7 linked regions of the Ovis aries genome follow. The protein of the gene in region 3 interacts with the protein of the main gene of each other region in a biochemical or structural test. Links are inferred from orthologs where the notes say so. Each region holds a gene or a part of one and is shown on either strand. Other genes may lie near its edges. The genes, in order: APOE, GBA1, SNCA, FYN, SNCAIP, ENSA and VAMP2.

Region 1 (4,259 bases), on a different chromosome or scaffold from region 3:
CGAAGCCAGGGGCTCTCACATCATTATAAACTCAACATTTGTGTCACAGGCTTATCCTGATATTAAAAGAAAGCTCCAGAAGCTGGATGGAGTATTATCAATGTCCAGCTCCCAACTAGTTGAAATTGCAAACAAAATATTCAGAAACAGAGATGTGGAAGCCAAGAAAGAAACTGAAAAACTGAGCAGACCAGAGATTTGCAATGCTAGCCGTGGCCTTGGGAAGGCCTGCCAGGCTGCCCACGAAAGCCCCTCCCTCCTGGAGACGAGACCACTCCCTCAGGAAACCTCCACGAAAGCCTAGGTCCACGTTACAGCCCAATCAGCGTGCCTGGTGCCGAGGGTTTGGCCGCTGGAAAAACCAATGTCCTAAAACCACTAAAAGCCGGGAATCAACCAGTACAGTGGCAAGCCTTGACGGATGAGAGACTGAATAGGGATGCCGGGGCTCAGAGACACAGGTCCACAAGAGCCCATGATAACATTAAAAGCAGGGGACCAACTTACTGACTTCATGGTGGATACCGGAGCAGGATTGTCAGTAGCAACTGAACCCACGGCACCTCTCTCGAAAAAGGCCACTGCCATAACTGGGATACCTGGAAAGGAAATGATTAAACAATTCTGTAAGCCCTAAAAGTGCCAGATGGCGGGGGCCACCAAGTGACTCATGAGTTCTTATATATCCCTGAATGCCCAGTACCTCTACCAGGAAGAGATCTACTCTCTCAACTGGGATCACAAGTGACCTTTTCCCCCCACGAACACCCCACTTTGCACATTGACCCGCCCAGCTACTTACTTACTCTCCCTCTCAGTTACCCCACAAGATGAATGGAGGTTACATGAATATACTGAGAAAAGACTAGAGGGGATGAACGGCCGGGAGGAAACACTGGCTCAACAACTGCCCGAGGTCTGAGCAGAAGGAAACCCCCCTGGGCTCGCCAAACACCATGCTCCAATAATAATAGAACTTAAGCCCAGTGCCACCCCGGTTAGAAAACGCCAGTATCCATTGCCCCTGGAGGCTCGTCTCGGCATACTGCCACATTTATATAGACTGAAACTGGCCGGCATCCTGATTGAATGCCAATCAGAATGAAATACACCAATCCTGCCAGTTAAAAAGGAAGGGGGACAGGACTATAGGCCAATACAAGATTTAAGGCTGGTCAGCCAAGCTTCCATGACCCTGCAACCCACAGTCCCAAACCTATATACCTTACTCAGCTTCCTCCCTCGAAGTGCAAAAGTTCTATCCTTGTCTGGACTTAAAAGATGCCTTTTTCTGTACACACCTAGCCCAGGTATCACCACCAATTTTTGCTTTCGAATGGGAAGACCCAACAGGGGGCGCCAAACAACAACTAACCTGGACCCCCCTCCCCTGAGGGTTTAAAAATTCTCCAACCATTTTTGAAGAAGCCCTGGCTTCGGACTTAGGCGCATTTCAGCCAGAAAAGTTTGGTTGTTGGCTGCTGCAATACGTGGACAATCTGCTCCTGGCCGCTGAGAACAAGGATGATTGCTGGGAAGGAACCAAGGCCTCGCTGGGACTGCTGATAGAGGCTGGTTACCCGGTCTCGAAAAAGAAGGCTCGGATCTGCCAGGAGGAGGTGAGGTATCTGGGATTTGTTCTAAAGAGGGGCACAAGGCTGTTGGGCCAGTCCAGCGCCATGCCTCTATCTGGGATGGACGGGCTCCCACGGCGCGTATCACCTCTACAGAGGGGTGATATGACTATGAGGTTTTTTTGCATCAAGTAAGACAACAAAAATCAAGGATAGAATGGCATTAGACATCCTCACCGCCTCACAGGGAGGAACCTGTGCCATACTTAAGGTTGAATGTTGTGTATGGAACCTGTGCCATACTTAAGGCTGACCGTTGTATATACATTCCTGATTTATCTGGCACTGTAACGACTGCTTTGGGTGACATGAGGGACCAAGCAAAAGCAATGTCAGATGAAAATATTCCCTTCTGGACCTCGGTCCTATCTTGGGTAAAGGGTGACTGGTGTGAAACTGCGCTCACTGTCATTTTAATAGTTCTGTTATCCGGCCCTTGCACTTTACAACATGTTGTTAACTTTGTAACCTAGAGACGAACCTCACTTTCCCAGATCGGTGTTAGGAGGCCTAGGGTACAATATATTCCTATGAGTGATGCTCCCACTGAGAGTTAGGAGCATCAAGAGAGAGGAATAAAAGAGGAAAGTGGGCAAAGCGGACTCCATCTTGGCTGCAGGACCCCATTTTAGACTTCTTGAAAACTTTGGACTACATGCCGGGGTGTTCTCCCAGTGGACTTTGAGCTTTGTGCCTGGAATCTATAAAAGCAACATTCCAACTGAAAAACAGACCCCTGGATAAAGGGACTCCAGAACTTGTTCCTGGACTTTCTGTCGCCGAAAAGAATATACTAATCTACCCCAGAGGAAAACAAATTGTTATCTGCACAAAACCTATTGATATATGTTAGCCTAATTAGGTGTCTGGACTAATATATGAATCATGATTTAGCCCCTTCACATTATCCAGGCTAGTTTTGAGGAATTCGGGGAGGAGGGTTTGAGCATGTACACTTAGGGTATATAAGGTTGTCACAAAAACTGACCGGGTCCTTGGCTAAGAGAAGACTCTGCCTTGGGCCCACTGGTGTAATAAACTGCACTCCACTATTTGCGTTGTCCTTCTGAGTGAGTTTACTTCCCAGAGAGCAGAGAGTGTGGCTACAACACTCTCAATTCAGGATGCCCGTCTGTGAAACAGCTGGGGCTCATGAACAGGGCTGCAAGGGAGGGAGGGACAGGAGTGTTCACTGTGGCCCAGCACAGAACTGAAGTCCAACATGGGGCCACTGTTTGCCAGCTAACCCTACTTGTTCTCAGTACACACAGTAGCCTGTTGCTTCACCGAATGACGGTGTTAAGTGCAACTCTTTTCCTGGTTTTGTGGACCAAGAAACTGGATGTTCAGAGAGGCTGGGTCGTTGGCTCAGGGTCACACAGCTGACAACTGGCAGAGCCTGGATTCAGGCCTGAGCAGTTTGGTTCTGGAATCCACAGTCCTAAGCAGGCACAGTCCTGAAGCATGCTTCAGGCCCCACTGAAGGAACAATACACAGTTGGGACAAATGCTGGATTTTCAGGTCTCAACCGGGGAAGGGGGCTCAAGAGAGGCACTCTCCTGTGCCCAAGGGAAGAGGGCAAGAGGGAGCTCATGGTAAAGTCCAGATTGCACTCTCAAAGCCTGGGCTTGTAGCAGATACCTTGTACTGTCCCCAGAACTCCTATCCCATTTCTATCCAGCCAGCCAGCTCCCTTCCCCCTCCCTACCCAGAGTCCCAACCCCCTCCTTCCTCTAACCAGGGATTTCAGGCCCCCAGTCCTTTCCCCAAATTCTATTCATCCATCCGCTGGAAAAGAGAAGGGCAGGGGATGGGTGCTGTGGGCAGTGGCCTGTTCCAGCCCCTTCCATGCCCACTGTCCCAGCCCTCACCAGCTCACCTACCCACCAGGATGGAGGAAGCCGCCTGAGTTACTGGGTGAGAAGTCATCTTTTCAAGGGGGCTGGGAGTGGGGGCTGCCAGGCCTCCAGGCCCCACCCCCTCCCCTCCTTGCTGTGTGTGAAGGGGGAGGACAGCCCACCTCGTGACCTGAGGGGGCTGGCCCAGCTTGCCCCAGCTCAGGAGAAGTGGGCGGGCCAGGGGGGAGCCCTATAATTGGACGAATCTGGGATCCGTGAGTCCCTGCTCAATCCCGGAGGCGAAGGACGCGGTTTCCGGAGGCGAAGAGCGCGGTGAGAAGCAGAGCTGGGGGCCACGGAGACCAGCTCAGGGCTTCTGTGGGGGACGGGCTGCGGGAGAGGTGGACGAGGTGACGGTCCGACGCCGCCCGGACCAGGACAAAAGCTTGAGCAGAGGAGGAGACCAGAGACAGGGGACTGGACCTAGAGGGGTGGGGAGCAGGCGTATCCCGTTTGGACTGGAAGGTGGGTTCAGGGGAGCAGCTGGACCTGCAGGAAAAACCAGACGAGAGATAGCAAAAACCCACTAACTGTTACTGCTGTTTACTGAGCACCTACTGGATGCCCACAATTGTCCTAAGATTTTCGGTAAGGGAGGCTCAGGGGCGGCGGCACGGTAGCTAAAGCGTGGGTTGAAGGACTTCTAAATGAGGATTAAATTAGCGAATATGCGGATGACAGCGTTTAGATGTGAAGTTGGAGCTGAGAATGGGAAGATACAGAGGG
Region 2 (3,077 bases), on a different chromosome or scaffold from region 3:
CAATCTCTGTGCCTATTGCACCCACATCCTCAGCCTGTACTTCCCCTGGGAAGGAGGTAAGGGGCGGATGGGTGGGGAGGTGGGGGGTGCTAGTCCTGGGGAGAGTGGGCAGGGACCCAGGAACCAGCCTCTCACCCACCTCCCTTCCTCTCCCCTCAGCTGAGGCACCACCTCCACGCCAGACACCAGCGAACCCAGAGTCTGAGGAGGAGCCACACCGGCGCCGGAACCAGATCCTAACCGTGTTGGCGGGGCTGGCAGCCATGGCCGGCTACGCCTTGCTCAGTGGCATTGTCTCCATCCAGCGGGCACCATCTGCCCGGGCCCCAGGCACCCAGGCTCTGGGCATAGCTGAGGAGGATGAAGAGGAATGATTTATCCTCATGCTCTCAGGACTGATTTTTCTACTGTCATGCATTCCAGAGGCCCCTGTGTTTCCCCATTGTTGGTATGGTGGAAATGGGGTGCCACCCCCCCGAAATAAAACTGCTCACATGGACTGAGATCAGACATTCTGTCTTTTAAGCAGCTGCCATTTTTCCTAGCTGGTACCAGGGGGCCATCTGGTGCTCGAGTCTACCCTCTGGTGCTTGGCTTCTTTCACTGCCTGTGCCTGGGTGCGGACATCTGCGTAGGCCTGGTTCTGCATCTCCAAGAAAGACAAACAGTTCCCAGTTTTGGGTCCGGCTTCCCTCGTCTCTTCCTTTCCTTAACCTCTCTCTCCATCTACCCCACCCCCCACCCGTGTTTGTACAGACAGTGAGCTCACCCTGGGCCGGGGCCCAGTTTCCACAGGCAACCAGCGCATAGCACACGCTCACACAAGCACGGGGGTGGAGGACCACTGGGGCTTCCTGATCCTTTCCCTAGGGCCCTCCAGCCCCTGGCACCAACTAGAGGGGAGAATGAGTCACCCAAACCACTGCCTCTGGGCTTACGTCACTTAAGCTCCCCCTGGTCCTGCTGTACCCTCTGTAGCCACAGACGGCATGTGGGCTGACCGTGTCCCTTTAATGTCCAAGCTGAGCCCAGGCGCAAGCGTGGGTATCAGCTCCATCACTGGCGACGCCACAGGTAGGTGTGAATGGAGTAGCCAGGTGAGACAGTCTCCATGAAGCCCACGGCGGGATCCTTGATGGTGAGAGGCACATCCTTAGAGGAGCTGGAGGAGGTAGGGAGGAGTAGTGGAGTGTGTGATCCCGCCAAGCCCACCGTCTCATCTTCATCCCAGTTCCCAGGCCCCGCTGCTCTCACCGGTTCAGCACGACCACAACCGCAGAGCCGTCAGGCCGAAAGAGTGCCACCGTGTCCAAGTCGCTCTTCTCGCTGGCAACCAGCCCCACTCTCTGCGAGCCCTCGGGAATGAACTTGCTGAAGTGGGAACAGGATTGTCAGGGACCCCAGCCCTGAGGGTAGCTTCCATCAGTCTATCACTTGAGAAGTCACCTTCCCTACCATCTATACCACCCTGCCCACCCCCACACCGGCCCCCAGAACCATTCCTAAGATGTGCCCTAACTCTCCAGGCCTCCAGCCAAGTGGTTAGATATGCCCTGCCCTCCTGCCTCCTAACCTCAGCATCAGGCATTGAGGAATTGTCTGTCTCAAATGCCATCTAGTCACTTCCTACCTACATGGTGCAAAAGGGACAGATGCAAGCCTCTCAAGGTTCCCACTCTCCACACCTTCCTGCCTCCTCATAGTGGGTGATCCAAGCCCAGTGCAGGAGATGCTAGGCCTGGCATGGAGTCGGAGTGCCCACCTTCCACTCACCTGAAGTGGCCAAGGTGGTAAAACATAGGCTGTTTGTAAAATGTGTCCTTGGCAATATCCACAATGATGGGGCTATCAACAAAGTTGCGCACCCAGTTGGGTCCCCCTTCAGGATTTAGGGCGAGGTTCCAGTCGGTCCAGCCAACCACATGGTAGAGGAGGTTCTAGGGTGGAAACAGGGCAGAGACAAAGGTTCCACGTTGGGCCCCCAGTGAATACAGTTAAGTGTCACATGGGGGAGATGGGCTGTGGGGCCTCGGCCCTGGGAGGGGTGTGTTTTATATCCTTAATATCTAAGGAGGGGACTTCCCTGGTAGTCCAGTGGTTAATGATCCTCCTGCCAATGTAGGGGACACAGGTTCGATCCCTGATCCAGGAAGATTCCACATGCCACTGGGCAACTGAGCCGATGCACCACAGCTACTGAAGCTGGCATGCCAGGAGCCTGTGCTCCACAGCAAGAAAAGCCGCTGCAATGAGCCTGTGCACAAAGGCTGGAGAGGGGCCTTGGCTTGCCACAGCAGGAGAAAGCCCGAGCGGCAACGAGGACCCAGCACAGCCAAACACTAAAAATCTACGGAGGGAGGGGTTTTGAGGGCAGAGGCATCGCCAGAGAAACTCAGAAATCTGAGGCAGCTACAACGGCTCAAGCATTCAGAACAAGGTGATGGGGTGCACAGATCTCCGAAGGGAAGGCAATAGAGGGCATCATGAGATCCCCAAACTTTGCCCCCAAGAGTAAGCAAGCTGGGGAAAAGCTGGAGAGGAGGGCCCCCTGTCAGCCTCTGGTGAGACTAGTGAGGGGCCCAAGGTGGTCTGCTGTGCGGAAGGAGAGACTGAGGTGGCTCACTGTGATGATACTGTGGCTGTACTGCATTCCTCGATCCCAGGAGCCCAGCCGCACGCTCTGCTCCCAGAACTTGGAGCCCACACAGGCCTCTGAAGCAAAGAGCATGGTGTTGGGGAACAGGCGGTGCGTCTCCCCCAGGGTGGCTTTTGCTGGAGCCAGGAAGTCCAGGTACCAATGTACAGCGATGCCATGAACATACTTAGCTGCTTCTGGGTCTGCCAGCACCTGGACAGAGAAAGGGAAGGGCTACTGGGGAGACAGAACCATGGAGCCTGGGTCCTGCACGAGGGATCTGGAGGAGGCACTAGAACTTGAGAGGTGGGCGCAGGATGAACACAACTTAGAGGGGGTTAAAGTGACAACCTAGGAGATTCTTGGGCTTTGGAGACCCAGAGGGGGGTCAACACTACCCCCAGCATCCCAGGAGTGCCACCTGGACACCTGGCCCCAGCCA
Region 3 (4,047 bases):
ATCCTTAATGGAAGCTATGGAGTTCGGATGATCATGATGTGTCAATGTAGGTTCAGCAGTTGTAATGAATGTACCATCTGGTAAAGGATGTTGGTAATTTGAGAGGTTATGCATGTGTGGGGTTTGGGGTACATGGGAAACCTCTATATATCAATTTTTCTGTTAATTTAAAACATAAAAATTAAGTCTTTAATTTTTTAAAAGTATGCCTTTTTACTTATAGGTTCGGCTTTATTATGATGTTCTCACAAGAACTCTACAGGGTACTTGCATGTATTCAAACTGTATTTTTACAAATGAGTAAAGTGATGCTTAGATATGTTAAGTACCTTTCCATTATCCTAGAGGTTAAAAAGTGCTGTAGTCTGGACTGGAATTCAAGTTTGACATCAAATCTACATTTTTTTCCTACTTTATCAGGAGTCAGTAAACTATAGCTTATGAGCCAAATAAACTCTCCAGCTGTTTTGGTAAGTAAAGTTTTATAGGAACATAGTCACCCTAATTATTGTTTATGGCTGCTTTCACTTCAGGAGAGCAAAGCTGATCAGCTGAAACAGACATCATACCCTAAAATTATTCACTACCCCTTTAGGGAAAAAGCTTGCCAAAACCTGGTAGTACTATAACTTCACAAGGTCATACTTCATCCTGAATTATGTATTTGTGTTCAACTTTTAATTGACTTTAAAATATCAACTGATAAATAGTATATAGAATGCACTCTGTTAAATACCATAATGAACACTGAAGATTATTTTTTAAAATATGTATACATAAACAAATTGAAATTTCATATAATAATCTCAGAGAAAACAACAGAATTAATCTCTAAAAAATTGTTATTTTATTTGCCCAAACTCATGGGTGAAAATGAAAACAAGTACAATGTTTTCCAGATGATAATCCTGCTTATTACCTGGAAAACAGCACCATGTTAATTTAATAGTCAGTGGTTCTTGGACTCATTCAAAACTAATAAATCAATATTATCCAACTAAAAATATCTTAAAAGTAACTAAGCTATAAAGTAACTGAAATCAAGGAATGGTTACAAAGCATGCACTTGTACAACTTGGAACACTGAGGACAAATATAAAAATACTGATTATCTAAATGTCACTGATTCAGTATTCCAAATTCCACCTAAAAAGATACAATCCACATTTCACAAGAAAAAAACTGAGTTTAACTCATTGACTTTTCCCTCTTGTAAGATCTTTCAATTCAATGATTTTCTGAAAATACATTTTAAGATAAAGAGTAATTTAACTAGAGGTTTGTGGTAAGATTGAACCAAAATAAAAAGTCTATGAACAGTGAGAAAAAATATGAGAAATATTCATAAAAATCATTCCAAGTATAACTTTTCTCCAGTCCATCTCTATTGAAGAGACGATATAGCTTTCCTTCACCCCACAGACATAGACAGAGTATTCTACACAATCCATTATGCTCATCCTCCACTTTATTACTCATCCTTTGGCTACTGGTGCTACACCTGCTACCAGAGAATGTGAGGAAAAGGAGGAAAAGCTCAGAGGAGAAAAGAGAATGGGCAGTGTGTGAGTGTATGCTCATGTGCCCGTTTGTATCCCTATAGATGAGTGTGTGTCTATGTGTATGCCTATTTCTTCACCCAAAGAATTCCAGGTGACTTGTAAAACAACACCCAACCTAACACAGTTCAAGATTAAAAAAAAAGAGTAGGGCTTCCCTGATAGCTCAGTTGGTAAAGAATCTGCCTGCAACGCAGGAGACCCTGGTTTGATTCCTGGGTCAGGAAGAGCCTCTGGAAAAGGGATAGGCTACCCACTCAAGCATTTTTGGGCTTCCCTTGTGGCTCAGCGGGTAAAGAATCCAGTTGAAATGTGGGAGACCTGGGTTCAATCCCTGGGGAGATCTGGGTTCAATCCCTAGGTTGGGAAGATCCCCTGGAGAAGGAAAATGTTATCCACTCCAGTATTCTAACCTGGAGAATCTCCATGGACAGTCCATGGGATCACAAAGTATTAGACAGGATGGAGCAACTTTCACTTCACTGCAAGAATACTCTGATGTGGGAATTTATAAACAAGGAAAAACAGTAAGCATCTAATTTATTGTATCATTTGATAAATGAACTATATAAATGTCTCAGAGATATTAGCAGCCTTCAAGCACTTTCTTGAGCTTAGTCCCCAACTTACCAAGTGGTCACAAGAAGTAACTCCAAAGACTTGTCTGTCCTTTTCTTTTTAGAGTCACAGTAGGTCTCTCTTTACATATCTCAAGATTATATCAACGTCTTACTTTTAAATTAGAATACACTGAAGTTAGCATATATTATTCATGAAGATAAATCAAAAGCTCATGGAGGAGTTTGATTTTAAGATACTATTGAATATTTTCTGAGACTGAGTTTTTAAAAGTGTCCTCAGAGCTATAGTTACTTATGCATAGAAACATTCATTTAAAAAAAGAAAGTCCTAAATATTACTGCAAAATTAAATAGTCTGGAAAAACAAAATAGCCCCACTTTGTATATTAGCTCAAACACACACATTCACCTACTTACACACACCTCTGATTCAGCCCATCACTTTGAGGAGTGGTGAGAAATACCAGCATTTAAAGCATCAATCATCCTAACCCATCAATCCCAAATAAATATCAAAGTGACATTTAGGGCTTACCTACCTACATAGAGAACACCCTCTTTTGTCTTTCCTGCTGCTTCTGCCACACCCTGCTTGGTTTTTTCAGCAGCAGCCACGACTCCTTCCTTGGCCTTTGAAAGTCCTTTCATGAAAACATCCATGGCTAACGAATTCCTTTACACCACACTGGAGAAGACAAAATACACTTTAAGAACTTCTGCGTAAAAAACAAAATTAGAACCACCCAAAGTAAAAACTATTGAAAGATCAGTAGAATCCTCAAAAGAGTGAGATTCTCTTAAGTGTACCTCCATTTCAACCACTGGACAAAGGAGGCTTTTCTTAGCTTTTGCATTAAAAATTTAGCATCTCCCATCCATCTTGGCTGGATAAAGTCTAGCCGCCTAAACATGGATTAGGATGAATCATATGAGCTGTTCTTACGCGTTTCCGAAGTGGAATTGCACGGAAAGATAGACTCCTCTTTTAACTTCCCAGGGTCCAAATGGTGACAGTATAAGTTAGAAGTGCGTTTAGAAGACATCACAGGAAAAGGAAAGGGACCTGAAGGCAGGGGGTCAGGGACACGCTTACATTCCAAAAGGCAGCTAACAGATCAATCACGAATAGGGGAGGGAAGGAACCACTCACTCTGGGTGTGGCTGAACCTCAGGCCAACTGCGAGCCCACCGCCCTCGCTCTAATTCACCCAACCATGCACCCGACCCTGGGCTATCAACCCAGAGCGTGCAGGAGGGCGCGAGTTCACAACCACGGAAGCCTCAGGAGGCGCGCCAGCCACCCGTGGGGGCGTTCTCAGCGCCTGGAACCCGCCCCCTACCCTGCGCCGCACCTGTTAACCCCTTATCACCTGTTGACTCGCCCTCTCAGCGCTCCCACTTAACGATTTGCCAAACATAGCTTGTTTACTTCACAGAGAGAACAGAGAGGGCGGACTAGAGGCGGGGGGCGGTTAAGGAAAGCGACAAACAAAAGTTGAATACTCATACTCCCTGGAGCATCCTCGCGTTTCCCAAAGGAGAAGCTTATCCCTGAGAATCCAGACCTCTCGGCCTCTGAGGACGAGAAGAGGGAAGCAGTCGAAGCAGGAGGCAAACAGGTCAGTTGCCTTTCCTCACGCTCACCCTAGGGATAAGCACTCACCTCTGAGAGAGGCTCGACTACAGCTGGTCCTCGCGGCAGCACGCCCACCCCACCCCCGCGCGCCCCGGGGCGCCCGCAACGACTCTTCTCCCACCAGGTGTTCTCCACGACTTCCAAAGCTGCCCAGTTAGTTCCACAAGCACTTACCAGATTTCCTCGGCTCCACGAACTCCAATTTCTCCCCCACCCCCACTTAAAAAATTTAAAAAACAATTCCCAAATGTTATTTAAGTGGGAAGAGAGA
Region 4 (3,506 bases), on a different chromosome or scaffold from region 3:
GGCCTCATGCTCTCTTCCTAGCCTTTCTGAGCTCCTGGAATGTAGTGGCTGCTGTCCACTCCTGCCAGAGCTTCACAGCCAACACTGGACAGGCTTCACAGTCAGACTTGGTTTTCTTTCTCGAAAGTCTATATAGTGCTTAGACCATAATTTGTACAACACCTTAGGAGGGTCTTGGGCTGCACTCTGTGTTCAGACACATCCTTAATTCTTCAGCAGTATGTATAAATGAAGAAAAACAGTCGAGCACCTCACACCAGGTCAGGTTTTATGGCCAAACAAGGTGAGTTCAGATCAGTTTGCTGCCAGGGAAGTTCCCAGAACTTGTGCTTTGCAGAGCTTGTTGGATTGGGGGTTGTGGATGAGGAAATGCTGGTCCTTGTCCGTTTGTCCAGAGCACTGCGGGACCCTCCAGTGGCAACCTCAGCATCTCCCCTTGCTTCCAACCGACCCCCCTGCCCCACCTGATTTATCAAAATGAGTTTTTCAGTGGTTGGAAGAGGATGTAAGGTAATTAACTACAGAGCTGACCAGTCATCCAACTGAAGAGAGCCCCTGTGAAGTCAGGCATGGCGTGGAGGAAGGGGACCCAGATTCAACTACCAAGCCTCTCTCACTAAAATAAGGGTCACTGCCAAAATGTGAGCAGAGTTATGTTAGAATAATTAAATTGAAGGCCTACTTCAACACAGCAGGAATAATACACAGATTTTATCACCTCAAGGAATTACAATGGCAGAGAATAAGAAAGCATCCTGAAAGGGTTTGGATAAGCATGTGACTGACAGGGCTGTGGTTGACAGTCATGGGAGCTGGAATCAGTCCAGCTCCAAAAACAACAACAAAGAGAACTGGCAACAGATCCCAGAATCTGCGCGATTCTGGGGGACAGGGGGACAGGGTTGTGACCTGGCCCGGCTGCTCTGGCTGGGTGGTTCTACTCAGCGGGTTGCCGTCTCCTCCAGAAGCTGCTACATGCACACACTATGTCCTGCTGATCGGAGCTCTGAGAGCCAGGGGAAGAATTCTGGGTTTCTGAATGGCTGAAACTCGGGTTTTTGCTTTTATAAATTAACTGGGTCAGAAGCTGGAGAGGATTCCAGATTATAGGCTCAGGGCCAAGGAGCAGCCAAAACATACAAGAGCTTGGCAGGCGATGGCAGAACACGATACGGCAGAAAAGGGAATCAAACCAGAGAAGAGAGCCTGGCAGTGATTGAGAAAGGGGTCAGGGCATTCAGCCCCCCTATCCACCCCTTATGTGGTATTTCCTGTTCTGTTGAGAAGGCCAGTGTGCAGGAAGGCTGCACTCTCCAGAGGGCTGGCAGTCTCCCAGAACGTCTCCTGTGAGCTCCAGGCATCCCGAAGCCTCTGTATCGGGCAGCTCCCCCAGAGGGTCACAGAGGTCTCCGTGATTGATGGCCTGTCCGAAGTCATCAGTAAACAGTGCCCTGCCTCCCTGTCAGAGTCATCTTAACCCAGGGCACCTGGGGGTCACTGGGCTGGACGGTGCCCAGACTGATGGCGTGATGGCGGATCTCGAATGGCTGAACACTGAGAGTTTGTCCAGGCACGAGGACAGCCAGTTTATGAAGTACATCAACAGAGCTTATAGGTCCTGTGAACAAAGGACAGTTTAGTTTTCATTCCCTGGATTTGTTTTTATCATTCATGTTTTTGTCAGTGTAATTGATGTATAATTTACATACAATAGAATTCTACAGTTTTAAGAAGTCCGTGAGTTTTGACAAACATAAACAGTCACACCTCCACACTCAGGATATAGAACATGGATTGGCAGCCTACAGCTTCTAGGCCAGATCTGGCTCCTGCCCTGTCTTTGTTTTCTATTTTCAGAGTTGTAGAAAAATAAATAAAATGGAGGATATGCGGCAGAGATAGTATGCAACCTAAAATCTTTACTGCCTGGCCTTTACAGGGAGGGTTTGCTGATACAGAACGTTTCCATCACCCTTGTGTTCCCTGCGGCCTCTTTGCAGGATTGCCCTCCCCGTCACCCCTGGCAACCACTGATCTGCTTTCTATCACTATAGTTTTTGCCTTTTCTAGAATTTCATATAAATGAAATCATGCAGTATGTCGCCTTTTGTGTCTGGCTTCTTTCGCTTCTAATGCTTTTGAGATTTACCCTCCAGGGCTTCACATGTGTCAGTAGGGGAGTCCTTTTTTATTTCTGAGTGGTGAGATAGCCCATTGAAGACAGGGTTCACCTCTGGGTGAGGTGGGCGCACTCAACATGTTTTAACCACCTGTAGGCTCCAAGGAGAAGAAAGAGAAGACATAGGGGCGCCCTCTCTCATGGCCCTTGTCTTTGCAGGCATGAACAACCGGGAGGTGCTGGAGCAGGTGGAGCGCGGCTACAGGATGCCCTGTCCACAGGACTGCCCCATCTCCCTCCACGAGCTCATGATACACTGCTGGAAAAAGGACCCCGAAGAGCGGCCCACTTTCGAGTACCTGCAGGGCTTCCTGGAAGACTACTTCACCGCAACAGAGCCTCAGTATCAACCCGGGGAAAACCTGTAAGACCTGGGTCTGCAGAGAGAGGCCTGGTCCCAGAGGCTTCCCCGCCCCCTCCCCATTAGCTTTCAATTCCATAGCCAGCTGCTCCGAGCAGAGCAGCCAGAACCGTCCAGGATCAGATTGCATGTGACTCTGAAGCTGACGAACTTCATGGCCCTCATTCATGACACTTGTCCCCAAATCCGAACCTCCTCTGTGAAGCATTCGAGACAGAACCTTGTTATTTCTCAGACTTTGGAAATGCATTGTATCGATGTTATGTAAAAGGCCAAACCTCTGTTCAGTGTAAATAGTTACTCCAGTGCCAACGATCCTAGTGCTTTCCTTTTTTTAAAATGCAAATCCTATGTGATTTTAACTCTGTCTTCACCTGATTCAACTAAAAAAAAAAGTATTATTTTCCAAAAGTGGCCTCTTTGTCTAAAACAATAAAATTTTTTTTCATGTTTTAACAAAATCCAATCAGGACAGGTGTTTGGTTTTTTTTTTTTTTCTTTTTTTTATAGATATGAATATATATAATCTATATATCCCTGTGCATACACCATGTGGGTGCTAACATGGAGACCGTGGCCAACCTTGGCCACAAAGCTTCAGGACCCAGAATGAGGATCTGACTGGAAAATCAACATAAAAGCACTGGTGGTGTTCTGAAAACCAGTGGCCTCACTTTTTGGCTTTTGCAAAACATGTTTGTTTGTTTGTTTTTGGACTGTACTTTTTTGGTTCATGACTGTGCCTGTAGATGGCTGTTACTTTGACTCTTATCAGGGCCCAAGCTGAATTCACAATTTCTTTTTCCAGTATTTGCTTCAACTTACTATGATTTGTTCTTGAAACTTAAAAGTGAGCCTCTTTAAAGCAAGCAAGTGGCCAGTACCACCAGGGAAACTAGAGGATGGATACCACACAAACTTCTTGTATAAAAACACGAATGCTGAAATGTTTCCAACGTTTTTTAT
Region 5 (3,954 bases), on a different chromosome or scaffold from region 3:
AAAGCAGGCTGTCAAAATATTTAAGAGGATGGCAATAAAAGTGTGTTGTGTATAGAACATATCAAGGGTGACACCAACTCCATCCATATCTACTGGATGGAAGCAAGATGTGCTTTTCTGAGAGTTTATAGTAGGCAAAAAAAAAAAAAAAGGCATTTTTATTTTAACCAGATGTGAAAGAATTAAACCCAATATTTTCAAGTATTTTTTAGTGCCATATGATGTCATCTGATTTTACATTTTCTGAGGGATAGTGGGTATTTTCAAATTGTGAAGCCACTTTCCGTGTATGTACTTAAAGTCTTATATATGATGAATTACAGTAAACAAATTACCACACCGGCAGAACATACTTTCGGCTGTTTATGTAAGACAGCAGAGAGAGAAATTTAGTTTCTCAATTGGAAATGGAATCAAAAGCATGTGAAATGTCTTCTGCTGGCCTTCAAGGCAGTCCTTATTTCAGAGACTATGTACTCCTCATCCAAAGAGGTCCAGGGCAGGGAGGGCTGGGTGTGTCCTCGGATAGTACAGGGGCCTCTTCCCTGCAGCGCCAACACAGCAGCCCCCGGACCTCGCAGGGACTACACTAGTCATCCAGGCAACCACAGTTTTTAAACAACCATGCCCTTCCTTTTTTACTGGTAATATGTTTTCAGTGACAGCCTTACACATGCTATACATCCCACTGCCACTAACCCAGATGGGGTCAAATTTCCCAGGATCGCTGCGCCACTCTTGTCCTCCGGAGTTGGCAAGGGAACCAGGCGGCCCCTAAGCAGACAGACGAGAGAACTTGCTTCCTCACACTTTGCTCTGGAGCAGCATCAGACAAGCGGCCACACCCAGGAGCAGGACAGTGGCCCTCAAAGGCTTTGCTGAGTGAGCTTCTCTGAGCCATTTCTGCCGGGGTGGGGAAAGAGCCTTCTTAAAAACCATTTAAAGCTTTCCAAAGGGCAAGAGCGAGACGATCGTGAGCCAAGGTTAGCATCAATGGTTCCACTCCTCCAGACTTCACTTCGGAAATAAGGAAGGAAAGAGTCAGTCACCAGTGCTGACTGACGGATGCCTCGTCCAGCAGCTCCCCGCCCCCTCCCAATCAAGACAGAGCTGCTTAAAGTTCATATTACTAAAGGGCCGTCGGTGTATTAAACGTTGCTGAATTAGAAACACCATCAGTTCAGACCAAAGTCTCCTCCATCCACCACCCATACTCGAGCACGGAACCTTCCGGGCAAAGACCCCTCAGCCTGCCTTCCTTGGCGAAGTCCTCGAGGGTGGGCGAGACCGGGTTGGGGGCGGGCGGGGAGGATTGGGGTTTAGGACTGTGCCAACGCAAAGATCCTCTGCCAAGGGGCTCCTGAAGCAGGGCCGTTTCCCAGGACCGTGCCCATGTTCCGTCGCCCCCTGCCCGAGTGTCTCTGCCCGGCCGAGGCTGGAACCCTGGAATGGGTTGGGGACCAATGAGATGGCAGCGGTTGACGCAGGGATCACGGTGAGGGGCGATTTCATCTCCCGGGGGTGGGGGGAGAGGCCGCCCAGCGCGGGTGGGGGGCGGAGGCGAAAGGGGGTAAAAAGTGCGAGGGGAGGAGATCGGAGACAGCCAGTTGAGCAGCAGAGACACAGAGGTGCGAGGGCCAAAGGTACAGGAGAAAAGAGCAGGTTCGCGGGCGCGGAGGCTGCGCGGCCGGGGCTGGGGGCCGCCGCGCGGCGGGCGCCGCGGGGCGGGCGGGGGAGGGTCGCCGTCAGTCAGGCCGCGCGGGGCTCGCGGGCCGGGGGGCGGGCGCCGGGCGCGCGGCGGCGGCGGGAGGGCGCGGCGGCCGCGGCCGTGCAGACCGCGCCCCCGCCCGGCGGTGCGCCGCGCTCGGCGCCCCGCGTCCCTCCGCGCCAGGTCCGCGCCCGCCGCCCCGGGGCTGCCCTCCTCCCGCTGCCGCGCGCCCGCTGGGGGGCCCGGGGGGGAGCGGCGCCGGAGGCCCGGCCGCATTGTGACGTAGCGGGGCCGCGGCAGCGCGGCCGCCGCCCGCCGGCTCCCGCGGTTCCTGCTCCCGCCGCCGCCGTCCATCTGTCCGTCGGTCCGTCCGTCCGTCCGCATTTTTGAGCAGCCGCAGCGCCGGGCGCCCGGGGTGAGTCCAGGTCCCGGGGTGGGCGCCGCGGGGAGACGGGGGTGGGGCGCGACGGCGCGAGCGACTGAGCCTTTCCAAGTTTGCACCGGGCGACCCGGGCGGGGGTGCCCCCCGCCCCGCCGTGAGCCCCGGGGGGGCCCCTTTGTGCGGCGAATCCCGGCGGCTCGAGTGGCGGCGGTGCCTCTGCAGAAAGGGTTTGGGGGGAGGTCTCTATAGTAACGTTGGCGGCGCCTGCCAAGCGGCTTCTCTTCTTCTTGAGGGAGGGGGGAGGAGCCCCCACCTCAGGTTCCAAAGGATTGCTCTTTTCCTTTGCCGGTTTCGTGTGGTTATTCTTCTTCCTGCCACCTGGGATGGTGTGGGAGGCAGGGATGGGCAGTGCCGAGGCTCCTAAGAACTGAGGTAACCAGGGACGAAGTAATAGTCACAGAAACAGTACCGACAATAATAGTAATCGCGAAAGAGGGACGCCTGGGGTTGCCGCGCGGCCCAAGGGGAGCCCCTCGCTCTTGGGCACCGCCGCCCGCTGGCTGCCCGGTTCTCTAGGGCACCACCCTCGGGCGCTGTCCTGTGTTCCCCGCTCGTCCGGGTCAATTGTAGCCAGGAGTGTTTCTCTCCTGGCCTCCTTTCGCGGTGATGTCTCTCATCTGCAGGTGGTAAGCGAGGTGACTGGTAATTTGGCTATTGTCAAATGCCACGTTTTGTTTATTTCATTTTTACGAAAGGAAAAGAGGGAAAATTATGAGCCATTACTGGCAGCCATACAGTTTCCACAGGAAATACTAGCATTCTTTGAGGAACACGCTACTGCTTGCGGGGAAGAAAGTCTTTAGGAAACAAAAAGGCAACAGCATTGTTGCTCATTTTCAATGGACCGCTAGGAGAGGGGAAACGTGGTGTTTTTTCCTGTGGGAACAGGCTTGCCTTGGGAAAGTTAATTAAGGAAGCTTACTGTCGGTGGCCCGTTTTTCACTTGCTGGTGGCTGGACCCCTCTCCTCCTGGCTATTACCGACAACTGTCCATCAAAGAGCCGCCAGGAAGGGAGAACCACTGCAGGACAGTCTCACCACACACCATGTGCTGTGGAGCCCAGCCAGGGTGCAGTGTGCAGAATGAAATAAGGGCTGTCTGGGGAGGTTTATGAGGATTGCATGTGTGCAGAGGGTGTCAGTTCTCCAAGGTGTCACTCTAAACACATCATTTTCAAGCATGGCTTTCCCTGCTGAATCTGCAGAAAGGCAAAAACCTATTTCTCTTATTATGGAGCAGACGTCCCAGTTGGGAATGGGTTGAAATCTGTATTTCCTTTGTATATATTGAAATTTTCAAAGACAGAGAGGATAAGGTTTAGGAAAGCAGTATGCTAATGGGTTCACATCTAGAGAATGTCTGTTGGGTACTTCTGATGCATCTCAATGTTAAATTACGTTCAGCCTGGCTGGAGTCTAGGGAGACACCCTTCAGGTGTCCTTTATTTGAAAAAGTGTGACATTTTGTTCCCATTGCAGAAGTCTCTCTGGAAGGCAGTATTAACTGAAGATTACCCAAATATGTAGGAGTTTCAAGTCTAGACACAGAAAGAAGATGGTGCTTCTCTTAAGGATCTTTGGACATCTCAGTTAGAAATAAAATATAAAAAAATAAATAATACAGCTTTGAACATAAACTTCATTTTGTCTAGAGCAAGCATTTCATGAGGAAAGGTTACAATATGGTAGATTTGAAATGATGCTGCAGTTATTGATTTGACATTTGCTACTGTGTATGGATGTCCAAAAGGAAGGGGCTAAGGCAAATGAGTTTCTCTGCCTACTGTGTCATAGCTCTGCCACT
Region 6 (4,082 bases), on a different chromosome or scaffold from region 3:
GGCTTGTTTCTGAGGATAATGTACTTTCCTCCTACTCCAACCACTCCCACACATGTTCCATGGCTGGGAGAGCCTGCCTACGCCTGTCTTGCTTACAGCAAGGTAAGCTGCAAATCAGCATCACTTCATCATCTGTGACTAAGACTCAGTAACTGGGATTCTCCACAGAGATCTGTTTCCCTCTCCATTTCATCTGCATAGAGAAATACACTGCAGGTTAACGACTGACAACCCCTCAGTCAGCTTTAGGTACCTCTGAGGACTGAGGAACCCGAAGAGGAGCTAGAAGGCTATGAAGGTAAGACTCTCCCTTGGGAGAAGGACCACTCTGGACTTTTCCAGTGAGTCTCTTCAGGCACCATAGTTAATGGCTGGTGCTAACTTCAAGGGCCTGAAGAAATCATTTCAAGTTGAGGAAATCTGTAGGACAGATTTCTGGGCCTTTCTTCGGAAATGATGCACCTCAAAATTTAGCTCTAATCCTACATCTGCAGTCCTAAAACTCCCACCATCCAAACAGGCAAACATCTGGAGGCTGTCAGCATTCCAGACTCTGACATCCTTCCCTCACTCTTCCAAGGCCATTCCTACATGCCCCTCCATTAAGCTTTAGTATCCTGAGGGAAATCAGAAAATAACTGATACCCTTTCAGGAATTTACAGTATTTGCCTTGGGTTTGTGGGTTTTTTTTTTTTACCAAGTTTCTAATTTTTCTTTACTACTTCCCAACAACAAAACCTTCATATCAGTGTTCAGCAGAACTTCCACAGATCTCATCCCTAAAGCCCCTTTGGTTCCAAAGTAAGAGGGTAAGAGATTGTGCTCCATACCCCTTTCTGGAGTCTCTTCATGAGGAAGTCGGAGCCTCCAGGCTTTTGTCCCAGGCTTGGATATTTGGCTTTTAGCTTTGCCTCCTCAGCTTTCTCAGGGAGAACACCTTCTTTCTCTTGGGTGTCCTGGAGGAAACAAATGGGGCCAGTAAAATTAAACACTGAGAAGCAATGCTTCCAATATCTGCTAACTTTTACACTATTACCTTTTCCTGGAGATCTACCCATTTGTAAACATGCTATTCACACTCTTAAATAAAGCCAGACCTTTGTTCAAATCCCTGAAGCTCAAGATGACTGTATTGTGAGAAAAAAATATAAGTGTGACTGTTTGTCACACTACACCTAGGGAACCACCCCAGTGACCTGTGAGTACTGAGTTAAAGGTAATACTGAAGAACAATACTTTAATCAAAGAGCAAGCAGTAGCTCACTTAGAACAGAAGCTAGGAAAGACAGAACAGAGCTAGCAGGGATTCTGGTGATGCAAGATTAGTAGGGAGATCTCCAGCTGTCTGTAAAATACAGTACAGGTCAAATGGGAAATTGAAAGGGATAACTGTTGAGATGTTCCCTCCTAAGCTAGGCTTTTGATAAATCTCTCTATGGAGGCTAGCTCTGTGGCCTTCTCCAGAAAGCACCTTAGCAATGGTCAGTAATGGAAAGCAATAATGGACAGCATTGTTTCCATAAACATTGTAGTAGGAAGGTGACAAGTAAACAGAAATTAATCTCAGGAAAATTAAGATATAGTGGGTTCACTAGTACTTACCCACCACCTCTGTCAAAAAATCAACACCTTCCCTAGTGATGGAGGTTTGGGAACAAGCCAAGAGCCCAATTAACTTGCAGGGTCTCTTACTGTTGTTGTTACTCTCTGCCTCCCTTTTTTGTGGGCCCTGTCGCCCTCTTCTTTGACTTTTTAAAAAAGGACATGAAGCCAATTTGTGGTTCTTTTTAGTGGAATTGCATTCCTTTGCCTTGAAAACCTGGCCCATATATAACCCAGGGGTATTTAATGAACCCGAGTCCAGTACTAAATGTTATAAATCAAATACAAAACACCTACAGAAGTTGCCGTGTTTTCATCACAGAATTGCGGGTGAAATAAGTCCCCACTATCTTAGAAGTCGGGGGGAAATATGGTGGCGTCTTTCTTTTCATGACTCTCTAGGGGTCTTTCCTAGGTTAATCTCCATTATTCTGTTTGAAACTCTAGCCCTCTTCAATTTTGTAAGGTCCTCTTTGAAGGTGGGCCAACAGACCATCTCCAGCTATCAAAATATCTCTTTGAGAAAGTTGCAGTCTTAAATTAGCCATGATAATTACTCTTCTCCCTTCCCCCGGTGCTGACCCCTTTTTAAACGTCTATATCTTGACCTGTATCTTTAGGATACAGAATGCAGGACCCAGCCTGGCTGTTGGTTCATTTTACCCCTACTAACCTATAACATACATCTCATCCGGAGACCACCAACCCCCTTTCATTCACCCACTCTTTTCAAACACCCGCCCCACGCTCAGATTCGGCCAATTACAGCACAGCTTCAATAGGCCTAGCAGTAGGTCTACTGACCAATCAGGAAGGGTACTATACTGATTGACAACCCAGCCAACTAACCAGAGCCAAAGCAGCAGGCCCTGTTGAAACTCACCCTGCATGACGCAAGACGTGGCCAACCCCTGCAGAGCCCGAGACCATGGCGACCAATCCGCACTGGTGGGAGACCGCCTCCCGCCCCATCACAATCGCCCCCAACTCGCCCACCGCACCCCCTCCATTTCACCTGCTTCTCCTCGCCGGTCTCTTCCGTAGGGTTCTCCTCTTCTTGTTTCTGGGACATGCTGGGACCGGGACTGTGGAGTGTGGGGGACCCGGGAAGTCAGCCGGAGAAGGGAAGGGGGAGGGGAAACGGGACAACCAGCACTGCTTCTTCAGCTCCTGTCACTAGGATTGCTCAGTCAAAATGGCGGCCCTTGCCTGTGACGTTGCGACCGCCCCTTCCTATGGGAGCCAGTGGGAGCTGTGGATAGGGCAATGACGTAACGATCTACCAATAGTTGCTGGCTAAATGTGGGTTCTATGGAGGCGACGGGCAAGCTGGAACGCCGATCTGGGAAGAGAGTGACTCACAAGGACCAATTGGAAGCACGTGGGGGAGGTTAAGGGGTGGTGCTGGTAGCTTTGGCATTTTCGCTCCTTTCGTGGGGGTCAGACTTTCTGCCGCCCTACCTCGTCGCCCCCAGGGGGCTTTTCTGAGCTTCGAATTGGAGAGCGAAAGGCTGGAAACCTTTTATTTCCAGGTGAAGAGGATTAAGCTTCGCGCAGTAGCAGAAAATTATCAATCTCCAGAAAATAATAGGAAGGTCAGAGTGGACTTTAAAGTGGTCCTCCTCACTCTTCCAGTGTGTCATTTAGGGTGTGGAATGGAGAGACTGAATGGTCCAGCAGAATATGGATGGCTTACGTTTCATCGTTTAACTCTTAACGTACAGTTTTTTTATTCGTTCAGTGCCATCCCATGGAAACTGAGCTCCTTGAAACAGCACAGGTCTAGGTACATGGTAAACACTGCGTAAATACTCGCGAACATATTGAGTGTTTGAAGATGGTACTGTTTTAGTTTTACAAGGAATATATATGTAGTAAGGCAGTCTTTGCCATAGAGGGTTTTCACAGTATGCTAGGTGTACCCAAATCTTCGAGATTAAAAGAGACTCATCTTCCTAGAGTGTTAGTTAAAAAACGTCATTTTTATATTAAAACAGTCTAATACTAACACTGAAGAATTGATATTAAATTTTAATTTTCCAGGGAACCTGTTGTGGCAGCTTTAGGGCTATCTGTTCATTTTTCTGTATAATTAAGTACATTTCTAGTGGGAAAATCTGAGAATCTTAGAATACACAGATTATTATACAAGGCAAAATCTGGTCAGCTTGAAATTAAAATGTTAATAAAGTGGTAAAGGGGTTCAAAGGAAAGTTCACATTCAGCAAATGGCAACCCACTCCAGTATTCTTGCCTGGAGAATCCCATGGACAGAGGATCTTGGCAGGTTACATACAATCCATAGGGTTGCAAAAGTTGGACAGGACTGAGCGACTAAGCACCCTACCCACCCCACCCCCCCCCCCGCCCGACCCCCCACCCCCCAAGAAAAGAAGACTTAATGATGGAGCTGTGTATTTGAAATCAGCTTTAATTTTGCCAGGTAAAGGTGATGGAAGGACATTCTAGGTGATGGGGT
Region 7 (4,176 bases), on a different chromosome or scaffold from region 3:
GGACCCATAAGCCTGCGCCATATAAAAGATACCCAGAACAAAGCCCAGGTGCTCAGCCTCAGGAGGCAACTCTGCTGTGCCTGCACCAGTGCGGAATAAACCTTGCTGTTCCACATCTCCGAGTTTTGCTTGTCTCTTGCCTTCGCCACGGTTTCTATAACAGGGCCACTGGGCCTCATTCTTCACTCTTGAGGCTTGTCACAACCCACCGGACAGGCAGCTCATTTACACCCATCGCCTCCTTCCTGAGGGGCCACTCCTGCTGGAAAGAGCACGGTGGGTGGGTGAGAGATGCTGGGCCAGTTTAGACGACCTAAACAGAGACCAGGTGTGGAAAGGGCTGTGGATAATTCCCTACCATGTCTTACATCTAGACATTTAACAAATATAGGTATAGACTCGACACACCTAATACATTTTGGGTCTAGAGGTAGGACAGGAGCTGTTATGTCACACGCATGAGGCTAATCCTTAGGTAAAGTAGTACCAAGTCCCTGCGTACCGCAGGTGCCGCCCTTGCCCACTTACTCTCCATCCCGGTAAAGAAAAGCCAAAACAAAACAAAATAAAACAAAACAAAATGCGTAAGCCTTGTCCTTTAGCCCTGTGCCTGGGATCAGAGGTTGAGCCCTCTTCCGGCTGCCAGGGTAGCTACTCAACTCTGGGTCAGAGCTAGGTTTCTGCCAGTCTGAAGCCACCACATGAAGCGGCCCCACAGGGCAGCGTAGTGCCCTTCTCCCGGGTTCCCAAGCTTGCCCCACCTCAGACAGGCCTCGCCTGCCAAGGAACCCTGGTCTGAACCTCAGTTGCGAGGAGGGGGTTGCTATCACGGTTCCCAGACCTCCTTTTGGATAGCCACTCGCAAGGCAGAGGGTTGAGGATCAATTCCCACCACTCCCAGGATCCCAGCTATTCACACTGCCTCCGACCTGCACTTGCTCCTTCTGATTTCCAACCCCCCTGCTCCTTCCAAATGCTCAAGGCTGCTCAACCCGCACTGGGACGTGGGAGCAGGCTGGGACCTGGGGCTGCGTGGGGTGCGGACAGGTTGACGGCTTTCACCGAGGAGGAGGATGTGTTTGGGGCTGAAGGGCGCCTCAAGGGCCAGGCGGTGGGGGCAGGGGGACCGCGAGGACCTCGGGGAGGGCTGGGGTCAGACCCGGTGGGCTAGTGGTGGGTGTAGGGAGCCCTGCCACCAGGCTCAGGGTTCGCAGGCAGCGAGGGAGAGGCTGGGGCCAGGCGGCGCCGGACCCGCCACCTGGCAGGCCGCGATCCCCGCCCTCGGCGCCCCGCCCCCGCGGCCCGGCGGCCGACTAGTGGCCCGCCGCGCCCCGCCCCCGCCCGCAGTGCCCGGATGTGGGTGACGTGCGGCCGCCATCTTCCCGTCCCGGGCAGCCAGCGCCAGTCGGAGCCAGCTCGAGCCTCCGCTGCCGCCGCCATCACTGCCGCTGCCAAGTCCTCCGCCCGCTGCCCCCGCCATGTGAGTCGGCGCCCGCACCTGCACCGCCTGGCCGGCACTGGCCGCCGCCCTTAGGCCCAGGCCTGGGGAGGGCTCGGGGTTCGACTCGCGTCCCCCACGCGCCCCGCGTCCCGAGACCAGGCCGGCGCCTGTGACTGCGCGCGGGCATTAGGAGAGCCCCGCGTCCCGGGCTGGCCGCGCGGAGGCTGACCGCGAGAGGGGGCGGACTCCCCATCTGGCCGCTCCGCCTCTATCATCGCTGCTGGGTCCACCCCAGACCGTGTCTGTGAGGTCGCCCTCGTTTGACAGGCGGGGAAACTGAGGCCCGAGGGGGAGGGGGCCTCCCTCAAGGTCACGCAGCAGCTCGCCCGCGGGCCCGGACGGAGGCCAGGGCTCGCATCGAGTGGCTTTCTACCCGGCAAGAAGGAAGGGAGGGACGGATGGAGGGACAGGCGGATGGGCGGAGCCCTGGCTGCGGGGCCAAGGGCTGCAGGCCTTGGTTCTTAATCCGTCCCTGCCCCTCAGGTCGGCTACCGCTGCCACCGCCCCCCCTGCCGCCCCGGCTGGGGAGGGAGGCCCTCCTGCGCCCCCTCCAAACCTCACTAGTAACAGGAGACTGCAGCAGACCCAGGCCCAGGTGGATGAGGTGAGTGGAGGTGGTGGTGTCAGAAACAGTGGGAAGGACCCTGAGGGTTGACAAACCGACACGGGGGTCCATTTTGGGTTGGGGGGTGATGGCAGTTCATGTTTGGGTACGAAAATATACCATGGCCCGTCCTTGTCAGCGTGCAAGTATGGGAGGGCCCGTGGGGATGTTGGCCTGGCTAACCTGAGGTGTTTCACCCTGGGTGGATGCTCTGGTGAACGGAAGGCTGCTTGAGGCTCAGTAAATAAAGAGTGGTGCTGTGACATCTGAGCAGTGTGGATACCACATGCCCCTGCTGTGTGCTGCTTGCATTTCTCTGGTGTGCTAGGCATGTTCTGTATATGTCCTTGGCATGTTAGCCAGGCCACATGATGCCTGTTCCCTGTGTGAGCTCATGGTGTGTGGAGGAGTGCCCTTTGAGATGGACCTTGGCACACACACCGCTGCCTTGTGGGCCTTCCCTCAGGTGGTGGACATCATGAGGGTGAACGTAGACAAGGTTTTGGAGCGGGACCAGAAGCTGTCGGAGCTGGACGACCGTGCCGACGCCCTCCAGGCGGGGGCCTCCCAGTTTGAAACTAGTGCAGCCAAGCTCAAGCGCAAATACTGGTGGAAAAACCTCAAGGTAAGGGTGGAGGCAGGTGGGAGGACAGGGAGGAGGTGGGGGGTGAATGGGAGTATCCTGGTCTGTCTCACTGAGCCTCCCCCTCACCCCCAGATGATGATCATCCTGGGAGTGATTTGCGCCATCATCCTCATTATCATCATCGGTGAGTAGGGTGGGAGTGGCTAGGGCCCTTTCATGGAGAGGGTTCCCCTGCGGTTTCTGGGTTTTGAAGGTCATTAACCTAGATTTTAGTATTTAGGAAAAAGTATATATGGTTGCCAGTAGCAGTTCTGATTCATCTAGAGCCCCAAACCTTGAAGTTGTTTAGCTTGCACTTTGCCTGATTCTGGGCCATTTCTGTTAAGATTTTCAAAAACAGGAAGAGCATAATAGACTGGGAACCTGGAATTGGGGAGTGGGAGAGCAGCAGAGACTGAGGGGCTTGAGAAACAGCTGGGAAGCAAACCACCCCATTGTTTGAGAGCTGTGGTCTCAGAGGATTAGGGATCTGTGGCCCCAAGGCCATACCATGGAGTTGAGGAGATCTGGGAACCAATCTGTGTAGATTCCTTGCTTTACAGGTGAAGAACCTGAGGCCAAGAGGGGAAGGGATGTCACCTAGCTGGGAGGTGGGGAAGGTGGGAGCAGGGCTGGGCTGACACACTGCTTTCTCTCTTTCTCTTCCTCCCTTCTCCGTCTTCTTCCTTCTCTTTCCCTCTCCACAGTTTACTTCAGCTCTTAAACCCCTGAGGAGCCTGCCCTGCCCAGAGAAGGGCCTCTCCCCCCAACCCCCAGCCGCTCCTCCACCTCTCAGCCATATCTTCCAGCCCCATCTCCCCCGGATCCGTGTGTGTGTGTCGTGTGTGCGCCCCCTTGTAAATAGCCAGCTGTTATTTATACATATATAATATTATATATATTTGGTCTGTTTGTAGTTTTATTACTAGAAGATTTTTTCCAGTTGTCCTTAACACCCCTTCCTGAGGTTCTCATCACTTCCTTTTCCTCTTTCCCTCCTTCCCTTTCCCTCTCTTCTTGACCAACCCCAAGTCTCCTTCATTTGCATCTGCTATGCAATAGTCCCTCTTCCTCTCCTTCCCTTGGATTTAGCTGACCCTTCCTCCCACCCTGGCCTTCCCCATACCTCCACCCCCACCCCCCACCCTCACCCCCATACAAAAAAGACAAAAAGCAACTGTCCAGGCTTCCCTAGGTGCATTTTCTTTGCATCATTGGGAGGCTCTGAGACTGGTCCCTCTTGGTCCTAAGAATCCCATGGTCTTCTGGGAGCTTCTAGCATGTTAATTAGCATCCATTTGCCTACTGACATTCCTTTTGGTTTCCTTTCCCTCCCATCACTTTTCTGTTCAGTCTTTCAACCTGTGTTTCTTTTTTTACTGAGGATTTAGTCCCTGTTGGTCCTTGTATCACACTTTCATTTGCATGACATTACTTGCAGGTGGT

Evidence for each region.
Region 1: the proteins of SNCA (region 3) and APOE form a complex in vitro, tested with the Homo sapiens proteins (2 studies listed by BioGRID and IntAct). The link is inferred for Ovis aries from reciprocal best matches to the Homo sapiens genes SNCA and APOE.
Region 2: the proteins of SNCA (region 3) and GBA1 form a complex in vitro, tested with the Homo sapiens proteins (2 studies listed by BioGRID). The link is inferred for Ovis aries from reciprocal best matches to the Homo sapiens genes SNCA and GBA1.
Region 4: of the proteins of SNCA (region 3) and FYN, one has a biochemical effect on the other in vitro, tested with the Homo sapiens proteins (3 studies listed by BioGRID). The link is inferred for Ovis aries from reciprocal best matches to the Homo sapiens genes SNCA and FYN.
Region 5: the proteins of SNCA (region 3) and SNCAIP form a complex in vitro, tested with the Homo sapiens proteins (3 studies listed by BioGRID and IntAct, with this or other methods). The link is inferred for Ovis aries from reciprocal best matches to the Homo sapiens genes SNCA and SNCAIP.
Region 6: the proteins of SNCA (region 3) and ENSA form a complex in vitro, tested with the Homo sapiens proteins (2 studies listed by BioGRID, with this or other methods). The link is inferred for Ovis aries from reciprocal best matches to the Homo sapiens genes SNCA and ENSA.
Region 7: the proteins of SNCA (region 3) and VAMP2 form a complex in vitro, tested with the Homo sapiens proteins (3 studies listed by BioGRID and IntAct). The link is inferred for Ovis aries from reciprocal best matches to the Homo sapiens genes SNCA and VAMP2.

What each region holds. Positions count from the first base shown.
Region 1 is NC_056067.1:52,423,423-52,427,681, forward strand, and holds the start of APOE (apolipoprotein E), read left to right. Parts: upstream 1-1,459; 5' UTR 1,460-1,619; intron 1,620-3,514; exon of another isoform or gene 3,515-3,570; intron 3,571-3,756; exon of another isoform or gene 3,757-3,998; intron 3,999-4,259. UniProt on the Homo sapiens protein: APOE is an apolipoprotein, a protein associating with lipid particles, that mainly functions in lipoprotein-mediated lipid transport between organs via the plasma and interstitial fluids.
Region 2 is NC_056054.1:105,402,867-105,405,943, forward strand, and holds the end of GBA1 (lysosomal acid glucosylceramidase), read right to left. Parts: intron 2,849-3,077; coding exon 2,624-2,848; intron 1,938-2,623; coding exon 1,774-1,937; intron 1,407-1,773; coding exon of another isoform or gene 1,372-1,406; coding exon 1,255-1,371; intron 1,163-1,254; coding exon 1,057-1,162; 3' UTR 501-1,056; downstream 1-500. Other genes in the region: MTX1 (metaxin-1), read left to right, coding at 1-56, 160-374. UniProt on the Homo sapiens protein: Glucosylceramidase that catalyzes, within the lysosomal compartment, the hydrolysis of glucosylceramides/GlcCers (such as beta-D-glucosyl-(1<->1')-N-acylsphing-4-enine) into free ceramides (such as N-acylsphing-4-enine) and glucose.
Region 3 is NC_056059.1:35,535,541-35,539,587, reverse strand, and holds the start of SNCA (alpha-synuclein), read right to left. Parts: upstream 2,801-4,047; coding exon 2,680-2,800; intron 1-2,679. UniProt on the Homo sapiens protein: Neuronal protein that plays several roles in synaptic activity such as regulation of synaptic vesicle trafficking and subsequent neurotransmitter release.
Region 4 is NC_056061.1:26,093,748-26,097,253, forward strand, and holds the end of FYN (tyrosine-protein kinase Fyn), read left to right. Parts: intron 1-2,338; coding exon 2,339-2,547; 3' UTR 2,548-3,006; downstream 3,007-3,506. UniProt on the Homo sapiens protein: Non-receptor tyrosine-protein kinase that plays a role in many biological processes including regulation of cell growth and survival, cell adhesion, integrin-mediated signaling, cytoskeletal remodeling, cell motility, immune response and axon guidance.
Region 5 is NC_056058.1:29,243,268-29,247,221, reverse strand, and holds the start of SNCAIP (synphilin-1), read left to right. Parts: upstream 1-1,154; 5' UTR 1,155-1,495; intron 1,496-1,601; exon of another isoform or gene 1,602-1,662; intron 1,663-1,980; exon of another isoform or gene 1,981-2,123; intron 2,124-3,954. UniProt on the Homo sapiens protein: Isoform 2 inhibits the ubiquitin ligase activity of SIAH1 and inhibits proteasomal degradation of target proteins. Isoform 2 inhibits autoubiquitination and proteasomal degradation of SIAH1, and thereby increases cellular levels of SIAH.
Region 6 is NC_056054.1:100,620,821-100,624,902, forward strand, and holds the start of ENSA (alpha-endosulfine), read right to left. Parts: upstream 2,801-4,082; 5' UTR 2,676-2,800; coding exon 2,619-2,675; intron 958-2,618; coding exon 832-957; intron 1-831. UniProt on the Homo sapiens protein: Protein phosphatase inhibitor that specifically inhibits protein phosphatase 2A (PP2A) during mitosis.
Region 7 is NC_056064.1:27,613,617-27,617,792, reverse strand, and holds the start of VAMP2 (vesicle-associated membrane protein 2), read left to right. Parts: upstream 1-1,376; 5' UTR 1,377-1,478; coding exon 1,479-1,480; intron 1,481-1,984; coding exon 1,985-2,105; intron 2,106-2,571; coding exon 2,572-2,730; intron 2,731-2,823; coding exon 2,824-2,875; intron 2,876-3,437; coding exon 3,438-3,454; 3' UTR 3,455-4,176. UniProt on the Homo sapiens protein: Involved in the targeting and/or fusion of transport vesicles to their target membrane. Major SNARE protein of synaptic vesicles which mediates fusion of synaptic vesicles to release neurotransmitters.